Linked DNA regions of Drosophila melanogaster. The gene in region 2 interacts genetically with the main gene of each other region. Each region holds a gene or a part of one and is shown on either strand. Other genes may lie near its edges.

Evidence for each region.
Region 1: of Zip71B (region 2) and Zip42C.2, changing one enhances a phenotype caused by changing the other (phenotypic enhancement), as found in Drosophila melanogaster (one study listed by BioGRID).
Region 3: of Zip71B (region 2) and ry, changing one suppresses a phenotype caused by changing the other (phenotypic suppression), as found in Drosophila melanogaster (one study listed by BioGRID).

The regions. Positions count from the first base shown.
Region 1 is NT_033778.4:6,716,613-6,722,905, forward strand, and holds Zip42C.2 (Zinc/iron regulated transporter-related protein 42C.2), read right to left. Parts: upstream 2,922-6,293; coding exon 2,030-2,921; intron 1,970-2,029; coding exon 1,929-1,969; 3' UTR 1,584-1,928; downstream 1-1,583. Other genes in the region: Zip42C.1 (Zinc/iron regulated transporter-related protein 42C.1), read right to left, coding at 47-1,064; hlk (hulk), read right to left, coding at 4,979-5,166, 5,233-5,415, 5,476-5,642, 5,696-5,852, 5,916-6,082, 6,140-6,293.
Region 2 is NT_037436.4:14,989,415-14,995,707, reverse strand, and holds the start of Zip71B (Zinc/iron regulated transporter-related protein 71B), read right to left. Parts: upstream 3,420-6,293; 5' UTR 3,237-3,419; coding exon 3,093-3,236; intron 1,126-3,092; coding exon 843-1,125; intron 1-842. Other genes in the region: mnd (minidiscs), read right to left, coding at 4,492-4,878, 4,967-5,562, 5,641-5,859.
Region 3 is NT_033777.3:13,029,179-13,035,471, forward strand, and holds the start of ry (rosy), read left to right. Parts: upstream 1-3,349; 5' UTR 3,350-3,587; coding exon 3,588-3,629; intron 3,630-4,439; coding exon 4,440-6,293. Other genes in the region: CG46280 (uncharacterized protein), read right to left, coding at 741-873; CG46281 (uncharacterized protein), read right to left, coding at 1-576; l(3)87Df (lethal (3) 87Df), read left to right, coding at 1,804-1,833, 1,904-2,091, 2,157-2,271.

The DNA.
Region 1 (6,293 bases), on a different chromosome or scaffold from region 2:
GCTAAAAAGCCGGTCCTACCGTTAATGTCAAACAGTTGTAACTCACAAAGAATTTGAAGGCCAAACATTAGAGCGAATCCCGCAACGGCGGCCACAAGGGCCCTCCATCCGGCATGGCTCTCAATGAGGATCTCAAAGAAGACTACGTACAGCAAGGTTCCACAGGCGATGCCCTGGAGGACTCCGGATGGCAGACTGGGCTGACCCGCTGCCACCTGCTGGCTGATGCCGAGGCCAACACCGATACCGATGGGTGTAACAATGGAGAATGTCACCAGGTACAAGATGGCCAGCGAACTGCGTGTGCGGGCGACCAGAAGCTCCATACCCACGCAGAAGGCCAACACCAACTTGTGGGCGGAGACCGCTCCAAACATGAACCACACAGTGCTCACAGTGCCCTCCAGACCAATGGCCATGCCCTCGAACAGTTCGTGGAGCGAAAGGGCGAGGATAATGCCCAGCCCCCTGGCAGAGGATCCATCGTCCGCTGGCACGGGCATGTGCGAGTGGCCGTGGTGATCCTTGTGTGGCTGCGGTTCCGTATCCTTAACTTCCACTTCTTCCTTCGCCTGTGGATTGAGGAGAACACTGTGACGAATGCTGCGTCCTCTTTCGAAAGCCAGACTGGCCACCGACTCTTTCCGACTAAGCTTTCCCTGGTGGTGCCGCACGAGGCTGGTCATCAGCTCGTCCAACGCGTACATCAGGAAAAAGCCCGTGCACAGCAGCATCTCCGCCAGAGCGAAGGGCGTCTTGACAAGCGAGCCGCATTCCTGGAGCGCTTCCACCACCTCGATCACCTCGGGCAGCATGTGCAGGAAGGTGGTGCAGATGAGCACACCGCCGCCGAAAAAGAGTAGGCACCGCACCACCAATGACGAGCGGGTTTCCTCCGGACTCGCCTTCGTCCAATGGAAGCACCTGTTCAGGACGTAGGGAAGGCTGCCGCAAAGCACGGTGATCACCACGAGCACCACCATGGAAACTATTTTGGCCACCAGCAGCGCATGGTGATCCACGTCTTGCGTTTGCTCTTGTGACATAGTTGCGGTAGCGCTCATCTTCACCTCCCGAGTTGATAGCTTCGACTGTGCTGGCTGGAACTCACAACCAGGCTAATGGTTTATATTTCCAGTCATATATCAGCGGGAGCCGATTGAAATCTGATCGCTGATTGATACGCGGATTCACTGGCAGACAGCGGGCAAGCCTCGCAGCCTAGTATTGTTATCAATTCGCCGTCCCCTGGACAGGTGTCTCTCGTCGGCCCACCGATAACCGAACCATAGCCGTCTGTTCTTTGCGAATTTTATGATTGAGGGAAGTTTCGTAATGTGCAGGAACTTCGGAAGTATTTCCCGAATATTATTATTATTGATACACTGAGATAATTTATTTGTCCATCCAAGGCGGTCTCATCTTAGGTTTATATGGTAAGGATTGCAGGCATGGAATTAAAATCGCAGCACATTTTTTAAAAAGTTAAAAAGATTCTAGCCATATATGTAAATATTCTTGACCAGGATCAGATGATTTCGCCACGCTTGTTTTTTAATTTTACTAAATTTGTTTATAAAATAAATTTACATTTATCAAAATAAAGGTGTGATAAATGCAGAAACTTCCATGCCAAAAGTTGTTCGAATCGGATCATTTATTTAAAAGTTATGGGCAATTTGGTAATTAGTATGTAGCAACCGGTAGGTGGAGCTAATGTGCGCACTCGGAGAATGTCCTTTTGTTGATGCCACTTATAAATTTCCCTCGCAGAAGGGCGTTTAAAGGGTATCTCATGGTCGATGACCTGACCTTGCCGTCCTCTTTCCCCATATTTATAAAGCCAAAAAGCCCACGCTTTATTTTTCGGTAGTTTCTTTGAATTTCTCTATAGGCTTAATTGTTTTCATATAAAATTCGAGTATACCCTAGGGGCATGTGAAATGGCTCTTCCCTTTGGCCTCTCCAACTGAAATAATAAGAGTGGTAATTTGGTTTTTCAGTCATTTGGGCTTTTTAGTATGCTTACTTGCTATCTGGAGGCCAAACATCAGGACGAATCCCACCATCGACGAGAGTAAAATGCGTATGCCGGCATGGTTTTTGGCCACAATTTCAAAGAAGACCACGTAGATGAGGGTGCCACAGGCCAGCCCCTGGAGGATTCCTGATACCGTGCTGGGCTGATTAGCCGCGGCAGATTCGCTAACTGCAATTCCGATGCCCACGCCAATCGGAGTTACGATCGAGAAGACGAGGAGGTAAACCACGGCCAGCAGCCAGCGGGTATGGGCCATCATGATCTCCATGCCGATGCAGAAGGCCAGAACAAGCTTGTGGACGGAAATGGCTCCGGTCATGAACCACACCGTGCTCACACTCATCTCCAGGCCAATGGCCATGCCGCCGAAGAGTTCGTGCAGGGAGAGGGCCACGATTATTCCGAGGCCACGCAGCCAGTTGGGCTCCTTGGGGCTTTCTTCTGGCTGGACCACAATCTCTGTCCGCAGCTCCTCGCCCGCATCCTTGATCGTGACCACCTCCCGTAGCTTCCTTTGCTGCCGCCGACGAACCACAAAGTGCATGGTTTCCTCAATGCAGTACATCAGATAGAAGCCAGTGCAGAGCAGAACCTCCGGCAGGCCGAAGGGAGTGGGGGCCAGCATGCGGCAGTCCTGGAGAGCGTTCACCACCTCGACCACCTCCGGCAGCATGTGGATGAAGGTGGTGGCTATGAGAACCCCTCCACCGAAATTAAGCAGACACAGCACCACTTTGAATTCGCGAGCATTGTTCTCGGGCCTCTGGGTCCACTTGTAGAAGCGATCCAGAAGATAGGGAATAAAGCAGAAGATCAGGGTAACGAGGAAGAGCACCACTATGGCCACGATCTTGGCCACGATTAAGTGTTGGTCTACCATTGCAAACGGAGTAACTGGCCCGATATCAAGCCATTCACTTTTTATAGTGGAATTGATATCTATTCAGTTAGTGGAAGGTATCGGCGAATTGTCGAATATTTACACATATTAAGGGCTTAGTGGTTTCGACTTAAGTTGGCCGAGCAATGTGCTTTAGCGAAAGGTATACGGCAAAATTTCGGCATGATATCTTTCGGTCATTATCTACCTTTCGATTTAACACATTTTGCCACATTAGCCATTATTTCCCTGGCTCCCAGCATGAGCTCATCGGTCTGTTTTGCCGCATTAGAATGTCAGTGGGAGTTTTCAGACTGAAATTTCAGCTGGCGAAAACAAATAATTTGTTGTCAACGGCAGGCAAAGCCTTGTGCACCCAGGAATCTATGTGCTATCACTAGGTTGTGGAGACAGTTTCGCCTGATAACTTCGAAATTGAGATATCACCGCCAAATGCCCCATACTAACATAGTTCGTGAGTCAGATTAAACATGTACCTGTACCTGTAAATATTGTGAAGCAAAGGAAATTATAAAATAAATCACTCGTTGGGTAATCTTTGAATAGTTTTTGAATATATAATGGCGTTATTGCAACGGATAAACGGATAAACTTATTATTTAACCACGAGTTTGGGAGATTACATTTGTCATCGTCCTTTAATTCTAGGCAAGGTTTTGAATTCTTAATATGAGGTATTTCGATTTTTCCATTGACAATCACGTTCTTCTTCTCAAGTACACAACTAAAGTAGCAATTGATTTTACTTTTCTTTGCTCAAACCAACCTGCTGTATGCATTGTTTTTTAATTTAGTTTATTTCTAGTTGTGAATAAAAAGCATAAATAAGATCTCAGAGTAATTACTTACTTCAAGAGAAAAAACCGATAGTAGAGACCAATGGGGTCAGCAAGAGGGTCACGACAAACGACCTGTTTATTTTGAAGACTGAATTTAAAGATAGCAGTCAACCACATAGCAGTCATCTTTTGCATCAATTATTGATTTTCACAAAAAATAGGGTATACAACTTAAACCTTTGAAGGAGAAATGCGATTTTATATGGGTAATTGTTATTTAAGATTTTGCATTCTTAATTAATTAAATTGACCGTTCCATTGATGCCTCTCAAATAAACAACTAAACAAGAGAGAATGCGAAAGTCAATTTTCCCCGATTATAAGATACCTGTTAGTCAGCTAGTGGAAATGCGAAATTTCATCATTTTTCTCGGATATCAATAGATATTGGGGAATGCAAATGTAAAAATTATTTAAAAGTGTGGGAGTGACCGTTTTGGGTGTTTTGTAGGTGAAAAGAGGGCCACCGTGTTTTTGGTATACAGATAAAAATCTAAACATTTTTCAAAAGTGTGGGCGTGGCAGTTTTGTCAAGTACAACCTCTTATTCTACGAGTAACGGGTATAAATATGAAATATATTATTTAATACCATTAGAACAGAACGTCTACGTATTGCCGCGATTGAATTCAAATGATATTGACCATGGACTTTACCTATGCATTATCATGATCAAAATAAGACAAACCCAACGAACAATTTTACATACATCATCCAATAGTTTATTAAGTATCATAGGCCGTAAATAAGTTACTGTAAAAATTATTATTGACATTTATTACACAATATTATGGCGTTTAAATTTAAATTTAACGTAATTACTATGACTTGATAGTGTTCTTCTGTAATTGATTTCCATGATGTACACGGGTGAGAAGACAAATAAATGTGTAAATGTGACATACATGAGTTTTGATATTAATGGAAGCATCAGAGTTTATCAAAGTTATCAAGTTGTCTCAAAAGATATTTCAAAAGCAATGGATTGTCTCCAGACAAGTGGTTTTCATGCGTCTAATTTAGACGATTGGATGACAGTTTAATGTGCATAGATATGCGTGTATTATTGTGACTTTGGATAATCATTTCAAGTTTGGTTCGCTCGCTTTTGTGTGTCTTGTCGAAAACCCTCCATCGTAGTTGACAGCCGTTCAACGTGATTCAGTACATTCTTCCCGATTCCCCAACCCATACCATTCAAGACTGCTTGGGGTGCTGGACAGGAGGCGGTGGCGCCGGCTTGAAGCACTGCAGCAGGAAGGCGGTGTAGACCACAAAGGCCACCGCCAGAGCAATCAGAGCGTACATAAAGATGTTCAGCTCGGGCTGGCGGAAGCGGTTCTTGCGTAGCCACTCCAGCACTTCGTCCTCGGATAACAGATCACCTTGAATGAGAACGAGAATGAGAATGAGATTTCTCCTTTGCTCCCTTCACGTTCCCACGGACATACCCCTATATATGCTGGGAAACCGACGGCGGAAGTAGACCATTGCCGGCAGCTTGGTGACGCCCCATTTCTTGGCATAACGAGAGTCGGCCATCTTGACGAAGGTGATGTCCAGGTTATCCGTCTCGCTGTCGATGTTTTCGAGTTTTTCCAGCGCTGCAGTACTGTCCGGCTGATTGTGTTCGTCTAAGTAAAAGACATGTTTGTACTAATCGAAAAGTGTTTTAGAAAGGATAGTAAACTCACAGAAAAAAACGGCTAAGAACTCATTTTCCTCGAGTAGTTTGTCGAGCATTTTTCGGTTTACTTCTTCTATTTCGTTTTTGATTTCGAATACGTCCTGTGATGTTAGCCAGGTAATCACCTTGTCGTGTTGGTGTAGATCGCCGTCGTAGAGGACGGGCACTTGTTTTCTAAAGTGTTAAAGGGTTAAAAAACTTCACCTATAGTTTTGACTATCACCTACCGGAAATAAACGAGGGAAGGTATATTCACTATCTCGTATTTCTTGGCTGCCTGGATACTAGCAATCTTTACGAAATCAATGCCGAACATGTCTGCCTCACCATCGATCTCCTCCAGCTCTTCCAAAATCTCCTCGCACTCAGCACAATCATCGTCGTCTACATAAGTGTGTGATGAGTTTTTAAGACCATTTTGTAATTCATTCAAGCTGTGATACTCACAAAAGAAAACAACCAATAGAGTGGACTCCGCCATTAGGCGATCCAGCATACGCTCGTTGACCTCCTCGATTTCATCAGCCAGCTCGCGGTTGTCATCATCGATGAGCCATTCCAATACTGATTGCTCGTTCTGAAGATCCCCCTCAAACAGTAATGGGTTTCCATTTCTGCACACAAGTTCAGATGCCTTAGAAGTTTAGTTGATAGGCAATCTTGACACTTACCTGAAATAAACCAACGCCGGGAAAGTCTTGATCGAGTAACGTTTTGCCAGCTGCGGATCCTGGATCTTGACCATATGAATTCCGAACACGTCGCATTCGTCATCGATCAGTTCCAAGCCCTCTAGTATCTGGTCGCATATGTTGCAGTTGATTT
Region 2 (6,293 bases):
ATGATTGTGTGCACTTCAATTAAAACTGTAAGGCTTAGCCAACAAAAATAAATAACAAGCGAAGCGATTGAGGCCTGTTTGTTTCTCGTTTTGTATCTGTATCTGTATCTGAATCCGTTCAATTGTTGTTTTCTTTTGGATTTCCGCATCCATAATGCGTCCGTTTATCGTGCTATCGCCCTGTTTTCGTCGCCTGCTGACAATGATCTTTCCTACCTGTTGATTTACGGCTACATTTACGGCCCAAAAGGAGAAAGAAAAACGCATCTGATACTAAGTATATATACGCACATACATGGTAATGATAATTTATGCGACAAGGCCACGATCACAGACGGAACTTCCTATCAACCAAATGAGATGGGATGGAGGATGGGATGGCATAATTGAATTGATGATAGACCGCAGTCGCCGGTCGCCTTGCACTTGGAAATCGGCCAATTGATGGAAAGAGTCGAGTCAAGTCGAGGGCTTCATCTATTTATACTATATATATATACTATACTTCTGCCGGGCTCAATTTTGTATTGTGCCACAGGTGGCTGGTGTTTTATCATGTATATATGCTTGTTATTAACTGCCAGTCAAGTGAGCTTCAATCCGCGTATTTTTTGGAATTTCTCAGACCTGGTGGATTCTGGAGAACCGGAATAAGTGTTAAAACAAATTATCCTAAGATTTATGACCATGTTGTCTATCCTGGCGTAGCTTAGGTATTATCAGTCATAGCTGATGGTCGGCAAATACATACAGTAATACGGTTGGAAATAAAGTGCGAAATCCCCGACCATTAAGATAAGACTGGTGCACATCTTCATTAAATATTAAACGACGCCACTCACCAGAACTCTCCCTCGGATGTCGGTGCTTGGGGTCATGAATTTCTAGGAACTCCGGAACCTCGGCCTCCGACTGTGAATTTGAGTGATTGCCACGAGGAGAGATTTGCAGCTCCAAAGCTTCCTCATCGGTGGCATTGACTCGTGTCGGCTCAAAGTAATACGTTACATTTGTGGCATGCGGCATCTCGTTCGAGTATCCCTGAGGTCGATGCTGATCGATCGTGTGCGAGGGATCGAATTGGATTTGACCCAAGTTCAGGCTGAACATCAAATGCTCAAGACCCTGGAAAATATTTTAGTTCCTCATTTAATAGGCATTTAAAGCAGCATTACAGCATATTTAGAGAGCACTTAGACGTTATCTGGAAGTTTTCCAAGATACAAAACCAAAGTAAAACAAGTGTGATTAAGGCACACGTTATTGCAAGGCGCAAAATATAAGTAAACTATCTAATGATAAGGACAGATAGCATTATGCTTCAATAATTGTAGACAAACTATTTTCTTTTAACGATAATTAAGTATTTGATAATAGGTATTAAAATAACATTGGCAATGATAAATAGACTTACAAATATCTATGCACAAATTCTCAGAAAGTTTGATAATTCAATAGTTTTAGATAGTTGTGATTTCCCTAAACTATTTAAACAGTAAGTGCAACCTTGAAGTTTTAAAACCCATTTAAAAACAACAATTAATCTCGAAGTAGCTGGAGTAAACGCAACAAAACAACTGCCAGCTGTTTTGTTTTCGGTGAGCGTCCTGAAATCGTTTTTAAAAACAAACCTTAACCTGCTGCACATTTTTCACAGTAGCTATCCACGAAATTTCACGCCGACAAATCGATCGCATTTGCTATTTATTTAACTAATTTGTCAAAGTATATACTCTGGCTGCGATCTATCACCGATAATTACTTGATTTACTTGTCAACGTGCCAGGCAATTATATTTACATCTGAATTCATTTGTTTATTGTTATTCCTCCATTCTGTCGCATATTTGCTGTCGCTAAAGTGGGTGGAGATTCCCCGGGGCGGCGGTGGAGCCCCATCTAATTGCCTCGACAGCGACCTGTCGCCGGGGATCGGGGCGTGTGTCCGGCGTGTGATGAGTGGCTCCAAAGAATTGCCCAGATTCCCAAGATCAGGATGGCGGAATTTGCATATGAACAAACATTAGACACACACGCGCTGGCACACACAAAAAAAAAAAACTATTTATTATGTAGCTCATGAAGCCACCAAATGGCGAATTTTACTTTCATTCAGCTGAGATTTGTTTGTGTGCCAAGTGTGCTATATGTAATCAAATTTGGAATATTAGAATGATGATAGAATACGAGACGGTTGGGTGGGCATGGGACATGAGACATGGGGCATCGGGCATCCAACCCTTAATGTTAGTATGCCGAGTGCGTAAAAAGTAAAAACATTTTTAGTAGCGGCTTGCCATTCAAATGGACACACCGTATTGCGTAGCCCATACGCATGAGTAATGTCAATTGGCTCCGATTGTTCGGAATCGGACGGACTATAGCTTTGGAGTCCATAAGCATAACGATCGCGTTGCGAAAGTTGCGGTTGCTTTTGTATCTTTGGTTTATCGGGCATCCAGTGTGCGCCCATTAGGAGGAGGAGCAAGCAGTCTTATCGGGCTTATCATCTCGTAATCTCCGACGTGGATATAGAAGGATGTCTTGGGCGGGGGGTGGGTGTTGTTCGTCGTGTTGATGCTCAAGTCTCGTACTGTACATCTCACTGTGCCTGTGCTGCTCGTTAGTCTGGATTTTGATTAAATTTATGATAATGCCAGCAATAAAGTCTACGTTTTGTATCATACGAAGTGCCTGCTGTCTGCCCACTGTGTTATAAAATTGCTGCGCGCATATAAAGATTACAACCTTTTAAAAGTGACGCGATAATCGCTGTTGAGAGTGTTTTGGTTGCCCGATCAAGCCGAGTTGGCCAGAACACAATTGTTTCACTTTCACAATGCCCAAATATTTGATTAACTCGTAATCATATGAGAACACCCCCCCCCCTCCCACACATTGTTTTTGTTGCTGGCCCAAAAATGACAAAAACGAGAGAAAAAAAAGAAGACACAAACTCACTAATTTTTTGCCATAACGCTAACCGCAAAAGCTTTGTCCCGTGTCCGACTTTGTTTACCTGTGTTTACCTGTGCTCAAATTACGCTCTTGTGTGTGTTTACAAGGCTAGTTCGATGGTTTATTGGTTATTACCTCAAAGTTGATTGTCCCGCCGTTGCCGTATTTTTGAAATATCTGCGCCACGTATTTGTTGTATTCCGTGGAAGCTGGCACTGTTTTGAAAAATAGTGAGCCCAGGCAAAATAGGTTTAAGACTAGCACCTGCTTTTGGGCCATCGTAATGGACTGAACACTCAGGTGGTGGTAGATAGTATTTCTCTTTTCGTTTTATTCTATTCGTTTTATTGAACCCGGTTATCTACTGGTCACTCGTCATTTCACTGGGGGCTTCACCGGGATTTTTTCGAGTTTTTACAGACGCGTGCGATCCGTAACACTGCAGCCAACTACCGATCCCGTTCAACGGTCTTTTGAAATGACAGTTTCGCCCACGCAACGTTTTATACGACTTTCGGTTCGACGAGCGTCGGCGCGTTCTCCTTTCTCCCTCTCTCCTTCGCCCACTGGGCGGGCAACTCATCGCTCTGCGCACTCGCTACAAACTTAACTGTCATTTGGATTGAGCTTTGGAAAAGCTTTCGCCGGACCATCAAATTTGAGCGCCAAAAATTAATAAAGTCGATTAACCTGTTCATCGGCTAAACTCACATTAAATAGTGTACTCAGCCTTTAAATTGAAAATACTAAAGTTTTACACTTTCCTTTCATAATCTTAAGAATCTGGCTAAATGTTATTATTAAGCAACAATACTTTATACTAAAAACTATCCGGTAGATTGTAACTATGAAGAAAAAGATTGCATACCTAAAGGCGTTGTAAAGGCGCTTTCATCAAGTAGTGAGTTTTAGAACTCGCTGGAGTAGGAAAAATAACTAGAAAATGAAAATATTTAAAAAAATTAATAAATATTGTGGTAGATAATTATGATACTTTAAATAGATACCATGCGAAATGATATAAGTTACTTTTTTACCTTTAAAATGCCAATTTCCGCCCACTTCACAAAAAGTAATAAGATTAAAGTTTAATGTGTTTATTATTAACTTTCTTATACAAAACAAATTCGATTTTTTACATTTCGCAAAAAGTTGCATCAATAATAATTATTACTTACTGAATAAGCTCCTAATTACTTGTATAATATGTAAAAATTGGTTCGCATTTTGTATAACAGGCGTACTTCTGCTTTCGACGAGGAACTCATTTTTTTTGGGTTTGAAATATACATTAAAAGTACGACTAACAAATAATATTAATTGAAGCAGGGACTTCCCTACCAGAATGCATTTGAGTTATTTACAATAACACTTTTGTAATGTTGTGCGTAGGTTTTCAAAATTTCGCGTTGCTAACCTATCTTAGGGGTAAATTGAGACTTATCCTAACTACAAGATATTCCCTTCTATAGTTGCGTTGATCGATACATCCACAAAAGGCCCTCTCTTCCCAAAGTCGTAGAGTCCTGCAGTCCTAGTCGAACTTCTCCTGGTTGGGCATACAGATGAAGAATTTGGAGCACCACAGGTTGATCGCCTGCGAAGTGTCCGCCAGCCATTTGACCGGTTTGTGGATGGTCAGGTAGTAGACCGGAATTCCAGACAGTATAATGATCGTCCCGATTCCTACCACATATGGCGTCTGCGTGCAAGAGAAGATGACCAGGAACAGGCAGACGATCAGATAGATGATGGGCAGCGCCAAGTTGACCTTGATGGGTCGCTCCGTCTTGGGTTGCTTGTAGCGCATCCACAGCAGTCCGGATACCGAGATCAGCGTGAACAACGCCTCCACGTAGCTGACGTAGTTGATTAGTACGTAGACGTCCTCGATGAACAGCAGCAGCAAGGTGAGCACGCCCTGGGAAATTAAAAAAAGAAAAGAACATGATAATTTGATAAAAACAAATATTTATAGATTCTTTACTTAGGTTAAGCCTCTAACTTACCAGGAATATCAGCGAGGGCACAGGTGTCAGGCAATTAACGTTAATCAGCGAAATGGCGGCCGGCAGGTGACCATTCCTTGCACCGACGAAGAAAAGTCGCGAGGACGCGAAGATCGCTCCATTCAGCGAACCAAAAGTGGAGCAGGCCACAGCGAAGGGCATAATCCAGGACATATACCCCAGCATCTTGTCGCCAAACGTGACTGCCACTGCATCTGACGAAAGGATCTCGTCTGGCGAGAGAACCGAAAAGTATGCAATATTCGTGATCATATAGATGACCGTGACCACCGGCATTGAGATGCAAATGGCCTTGGGCAGGTTTCGGTACGGATCCTTGAGCTCCTCTGTTACAAAGTTCAAATAGTTCCAGCCGGAGTACGAGAAGAGGCCGCTATAGAAGGCCAGGGCTATATATCCAGGATCTTGAAGGCCTCCCGAGAAGGGATTATCCCAGTGCTCTGTGTTTCCATCGAACAACCACCAGACTCCGGCGCCAACGATCACCAGGAGGGCAACCACCTTGGTGCCCGTAAAGATGTCCGTCACACGCGTAACCCACTTAACATTATAGCAATTGATAAGCGTCAGCACACCTAGGGTGGAAGATCAAGCAATTAGTCAATATAGTCTATGCCTAGTCTCACCACCGATTAGCTATCAGCGAATCTTACATATCATGGCAGCCGCCAGCAGCTGAACAGCTTCAATGGGCGCGTCGCAGGAAGGCCAAAAAGGTTTCAGCAGATATATGGCAAAAGTCAGAGCCGTAATCGCATTGCCCGTGGGCACCAGGATCAGCAGGGCCACCCACAGATAAAGGAACGCAGGCAGAGGACCAAATGCAGTGCCTATATAGGCATAATCTCCGCCTGATTTGGGTATCATCGTGCCTGGAAAAGTTAAAATATTAGTTATAGAAGAAAATTTGCTCATTACGGCGTAGTTCACGGGGAACATCCCAAGAGAATAATGTTTAAAAAGTGATTAGGCTAATAGAGAGCAAACGTTGACAATCTGATAAGCATGACACAGTTCTGAAAATGCTTTGAGGTATGCATTTGCCTATCTAAGGAGGGTTGTTCCAGCAATTGGAGAAATTTTGGAAACGCTTAAAAAGCGTGTACTAACTATTCCATTTTTTACGACCATCCTAGTAATTGGTGATAATTTTATTTTATTTGCTCTGTCCATTCACTTCATTAAGATTTATGGAACTTTATTTAGTACTTAAATAGTTTGACATGAAAAGTTAGAAAAAGGTAGCATAAATATTTGATTTTCAAAAATATGTTCAAACATTCTGATCAGATCAGATTGAACTTCC
Region 3 (6,293 bases), on a different chromosome or scaffold from region 2:
TAACGCGTTTCGCTGTTGGCTTTCTTTTTGCCTGTCCAACTGGTCCTCATACTTTTGAATAAGCCTCTGCTTAAGCTTCTTAATCTTCTCACTGATAGTGTCTTTTAGGAAAGGCTTCTGGCTTTCGTAGGCATGTCTGCACATTTTCTGCACTATTTGCTTCAGTTCGTAGTCCATATTCTTAAAATGATCATTAAGTTTCTCATCGTCCGCAAATGGCGCAAATATTTGCGATATTAAATGATCGGGAAACGTATCGGGCGTTTGGGATTGCAGACTCTCTCGGGCTGCTACCATTATTGTTTTCTTTATGCTCTGACTGAAGCTCAGCTTTTGGCTGCTCTGCAATTTAAGATTCTCGATCGTTTGCTTCTGATGTCTTGTTTGAATTTGCAGAACAACGAGCTTCAGTTTGAGCTCATTAACCTTGCGATCCAATTGGTCGTGCTCATCTATGAGGTTCTTTTGCTCGTAAATAGCTCTCGAAGGAAACTCATCTTCTTCCGATTCTCCTATATACTCCGGATTTGTGAAGGAAGCGCTTTGATTACCCATTTCGGTTAACTTGTGGTCCATATCCGTGTCCTGCCCGTATGTAGAGAGGTCTACTTCTTTTTCCGACCGCTGAAACTTTTCTGCTTTCGAGGAGAACGGGTGATTCTCCTGGAAGACGTGGCCCTCCGTTCGCGGATCTCTGCTACTCAGGATCTTGAGGGCTTTGTATAGGTTTGGATGCTTACCATTGCACGACTTGTAGGCCGTGGTGGACAGCTGGTGATCCAGGGCGCTGTCGTAGAAAGTGTTGTCGCCCACATAGATGCTGTTTCTCTTGTCCGGCGAGGATTCAAACGACGTGGAGGCGGATACGTCCATGGTCGTGTTCAGTTGGGTCAGTTGGAGGCCTGGAAGAATCGGTTGCTAGTGGAAATTCGGTTTCGGTTGCTGGCGAGGCGACGTTTAAACATCTGGCGAAGAACTGTGGAGTACCCAGAGTTGAAGAGCGATTATCAGAGACATGTATATAGATAATACGTTTGCCTTACTCTCTGCAAACTGCAAATTTGTTTTACTTTTCTGCCTACGTGTCGTACATTGCCAGTTGATTATGTTCAGTCGGGTTTTCTCGACTGACTTTAAAGTCTGCGCCACACACGCACACACATTTGTGCTCCACATATTTGCCTTAGAATTTGTGTAATTCACCTGGGCATTCTGTGTTTTCTTAATTTACTCACCTGAAAATTTGTGTTTAGTGTGGGTGTTGTTGCACTGCTGGATGTTTGGGGCACATTGGCAGAGGCCTTAATTGACGACTGTCTGCTGATTGAAAACTCAATTTGATTGGCGCTGATTACGTTTTTGATTCAATGCGTGCTCTTAATTTAAATAAAAACCCAAAAAACTAAAGAAATTAAATTGTGATTAAATTCTTCTTGCTAGCGTCGACCAGTGTTGCCTAATGCTTAAAATGCAATTATAAGAGCGACTCTAGTGCAAGAAACGAGTAATCGATTCTGGTTCGATAGGCAACGACTTCGATAAGGCGCAAATTAAACTAGTTGTAAAGGTTTTACGCTATATGTTGTATGCAAGAAAATCAACATAATTTAGCTATAAATATAGGCTACACTTATTTTTAATTATAAGTCCAAATTTCTTAGTGCATAGGAGTGGAATAACTAATTTTATATCAGTTTTTGGAATGCCCCTAACATGTCCGTGGTATTATTATTTAGTAACGTCAGGGTCACACTTTTGTTTTGTTTTGCTTTGCAACTTGACTTTTAAAATTGCAATTGCAGCATGGCCGAAGAACCCGAGGAACCCGCCAAGGTATGGATTACATAAATCTATTGGACATCAGGTGCCTGATTAAGCTTTAACTATGTTTAATCTCCCATAGAGCTTCGTTATCTTCGGACGCGATGTGGCGCAGATCCCGTGCTTTCGTAACAGTTTTCTCTACGGAATCAGCGGAGGAATCGGCATCGGCTTGCTGACTTTTCTGGGCACCTCGCGAACCCACCTGTCCACCCACGTGGGCTTCGGCTCCTTCTTCTGCGGCACCATCGCCTACTGGATGACCTGCAGGTAAGTGACTGTGATTAAAACCGTGCGGCGCCCTTATCACTTAATTATCAATGTGGCATCCGCAGGTATCAATGGTCCGTCAGGAGATTCGAGCAGCAGCAATTGCGTGAGGCGATGAGACGACAAGCCCTTTATGAGGGCACCCAAAGGGAGAGAGACTTAGATCTGAAGTCGGCGTAGCATAAGTCAGATCCTTCATTACTACTTCGATGTTTGTTTTCACTCTAGGATACCAAGTAATCCTGGCATTGTTAAATCCCTTGTGTTGTAAACTACCTTTTGTTACCAAACTTTATAGTAGCCAATATATTATATATATGTTGTAAGTGAAATCTTAGCTTGCCACTCGTAGGGAATTAATTATGCCACCATCTTTGATTTGGGATTGACAGAAATCAATCCATCATTTTAATGATTGTGGTTCCTAAAACCTGTTGGGCTTTATTGTGCTTTCGATTTGATTTAAGCTGATAGAGCTAGTTGTTTACTTTTGAAGAACCTTGAACCCATTTTGACGACCTTTTAACTTTTTAATAGTTTTTTTTTACCATTTACATAAAAGCAAAATTTACAGTCTAAAAGTTGTATATTCAATACGTTCTGGTACGTAAAAGGGTTATTTAATGCACCATTTTTACAACTTTAGATAGTATACTTTTTACTTGAGTGGGAGCCATATCACAAAAATGAAATGAAAGGTTAAAAAAGTATCTAAAAGTAAGTTTCAATTAATATTCTGAAAAATAATTGCATTTCATGTACGTTTCTCTGAAATACCCCTAATTCGATACTATTTATAAATCTGGAAGATATATAGCTAGGAAATAGATTTATATATTTGCCTAGTTTGAACACCTTGTGAACATTTTGTTTAAAAAAAAAGCGTATCGTGGTACTAGAAAACTTTAAGATACAGATAAATAACTTCACTATACCGAGGTTTTGGTGTTTCTTGAGACTGAAGGACAATCTTCAAAATGGTCTTAATTCTTGAGATAGAAAAGCTGCAGTTCTCATGCTGAATAGTGATCAGTACGATTTTATCTGACAGATTGCTTTCCTAGCTGACCACACCGATCTCGGATGGGTATCTGCTCTAATCCGAGATAGCAGGTAGTAGAACTGCTGCCTCGTAACCCCTAGACATGGCCATTTCCACGCACATGTAGGCGATCCTGCACTCGTCGGTCGCTCGTCTTATCTCACAAAAATAAAAGTCGGCGTTTGGATGGATTGCTCGGCTGGCTGTTGGCACATTCATTACGTTTTCGTTGACGGCGCGAGACGGTTGTGTTGTTTTTTAATCGGCGGGCACATGAGGTTGTCGGTTCTCTAATTTTGAAATAAAAAACTTGTTTTCGCTTTACATTCAAGGAACGCACCTCCTCCCCTCCATATATGTAAACGAGCTTCGTAATTGCAGGCTAACACTTATATAGGCATTGGTACTGAGATACAGCGAGATACCGTGAGCTACAGATACATAGCACTTCACGATGTCTAACTCGGTTTTGGTGTTTTTCGTGAATGGAAAGAAGGTACTTAAAGATACTCGGATGCCTTGCGTGTCTTTCCTTAAAGTCGGCCCACTCCTACTATATCGATTCCCTTTATTGTTTTATTGCCCTAATTGCGTTTAACTGGCATTCGATGGAATTTGCCTTCTTGCTCAATTGAATGTGTCGAATGTATATAGTATTTGCTGTGCATATAGTGATAACAATTGACCCCCATGTGAAGCCTCGTTGTTTGCTGGTGGCCCCTTATCGCCCGATCAAGATGGTGCACTTGCCAATCGCGCATGGGAGCAGTGCTACTCGGATGTGGGTGAGCTGGGATCGTCATGGGCATTTGTGTCTGCCAGATAGCCAGGCCCTCTAATCCGCACATTCCCACCGGCTGTGCGGTGTTTACAATCCAGTGAGCTCGGCTGGATTATTCAGATAAAGCTGGCCATATTTAGCATCTGGTGTTGGTGGAGTGCAGTTGGAGTTCTTTACTTTGTGCTCACAGCTTGCGCACAAGTGAAGTAAATAATAATAAATAACCAGTTGCTCGTGCGCCCGGCATTTGATAGTGATAGATAGCAATCTCTGTTTGCTCAGGGCTGGCAGAGCAGATAACACTTTCGCTGTTTTAAGTTTAAACAAAGTCACAGTTTTGACAAACAATTGCTTTAAACCATATAAACTTATAATTATAGCAATTATAATTAAGTAGGTACAGATCTTAAAGCTACAAGATACAAGATACAAATTTTCCCATTAATGGATAAATGGCATTAGATACTTTTGGGAAATTGATTTCGTTTTTTTCATTTTATTATATTTATACATTTCTTATTCCAGGTGACCGAAGTGTCGCCTGATCCGGAGTGCACGCTCCTCACATTCCTGCGCGAAAAGCTGCGGCTGTGCGGAACGAAGTTGGGATGTGCGGAAGGCGGATGCGGCGCCTGCACCGTGATGGTGTCCCGCCTAGACCGTCGGGCCAACAAGATACGTCACCTGGCGGTCAACGCCTGCCTGACGCCAGTGTGCTCGATGCACGGATGTGCGGTGACCACTGTGGAGGGTATAGGGAGCACCAAAACGCGTCTGCATCCGGTGCAGGAGCGACTGGCCAAGGCGCACGGATCCCAGTGCGGCTTCTGCACGCCGGGCATTGTGATGTCCATGTACGCACTTCTGCGGAACGCGGAGCAACCCTCTATGCGAGACTTGGAGGTGGCATTCCAAGGTAACCTGTGCCGCTGCACCGGCTATCGACCCATTCTCGAGGGCTACAAGACGTTCACCAAGGAGTTTGCCTGCGGAATGGGCGAGAAGTGCTGCAAAGTTAGTGGGAAAGGATGCGGAACCGATGCGGAGACCGATGACAAGCTCTTCGAGCGCAGCGAATTCCAGCCCTTGGATCCCAGCCAGGAACCCATCTTCCCACCGGAACTTCAGCTGAGTGACGCCTTCGATTCTCAGAGTTTGATCTTTAGTTCGGATAGGGTGACCTGGTATCGTCCCACCAATCTGGAGGAGCTGCTTCAGCTGAAGGCCAAACATCCGGCTGCCAAGCTGGTCGTGGGCAATACGGAAGTGGGCGTTGAGGTTAAGTTCAAGCACTTCCTCTACCCGCACCTCATTAATCCCACCCAGGTGAAGGAGCTGCTGGAGATCAAAGAGAACCAGGATGGCATTTACTTCGGTGCGGCTGTCAGTTTGATGGAGATCGATGCGCTTCTGCGGCAGAGAATCGAGCAGCTGCCGGAATCGGAGACCAGATTGTTCCAGTGCACCGTGGATATGCTTCACTACTTTGCCGGCAAGCAGATCCGCAACGTCGCCTGTTTGGGTGGAAACATCATGACCGGTAGTCCCATTTCCGATATGAATCCTGTGCTCTCGGCAGCAGGAGCTCAACTGGAGGTGGCCAGTTTTGTGGATGGAAAGCTCCAAAAGAGATCAGTTCACATGGGAACTGGGTTCTTCACTGGCTATCGCAGGAATGTTATCGAAGCCCACGAGGTGCTGCTGGGCATCCACTTTCGGAAGACCACTCCGGACCAGTATATCGTTGCTTTTAAGCAGGCCAGGAGAAGGGATGATGACATAGCCATCGTAAATGCCGCAATAAACGTTCGCTTTGAGGAAAAATCCAACATTGTGGCGGAGATCTCGATGGCTTTTGGTGGAATGGCACCAACCACAGTGCTCGCTCCTCGAACTTCCCAACTGATGGTTGGGCAGGAGTGGAGCCACCAGCTCGTGGAGCGCGTGGCGGAGAGCTTGTGCACGGAGCTGCCTTTGGCTGCCTCCGCTCCGGGTGGCATGATCGCCTATCGTCGAGCTCTGGTGGTGAGCCTGTTCTTCAAGGCCTATCTGGCCATTTCCCTGAAGCTGAGCAAGTCAGGGATCACATCTTCCGATGCTCTGCCATCGGAGGAGCGAAGTGGTGCCGAGACATTCCACACACCAGTACTCAAAAGTGCCCAGCTCTTCGAGCGCGTCTGCAGCGATCAACCCATCTGTGATCCCATTGGGAGACCAAAAGTTCATGCGGCTGCTTTGAAACAGGCCACTGGTGAAGCTATCTACACAGATGACATTCCCCGCATGGATGGTGAAGTTTATCTGGCCTTTGTCCTTAGTACCAAGCCACGTGCCAAGATCACCAAGCTGGATGCCAGTGAAGCTCTGGCCCTGGACGGA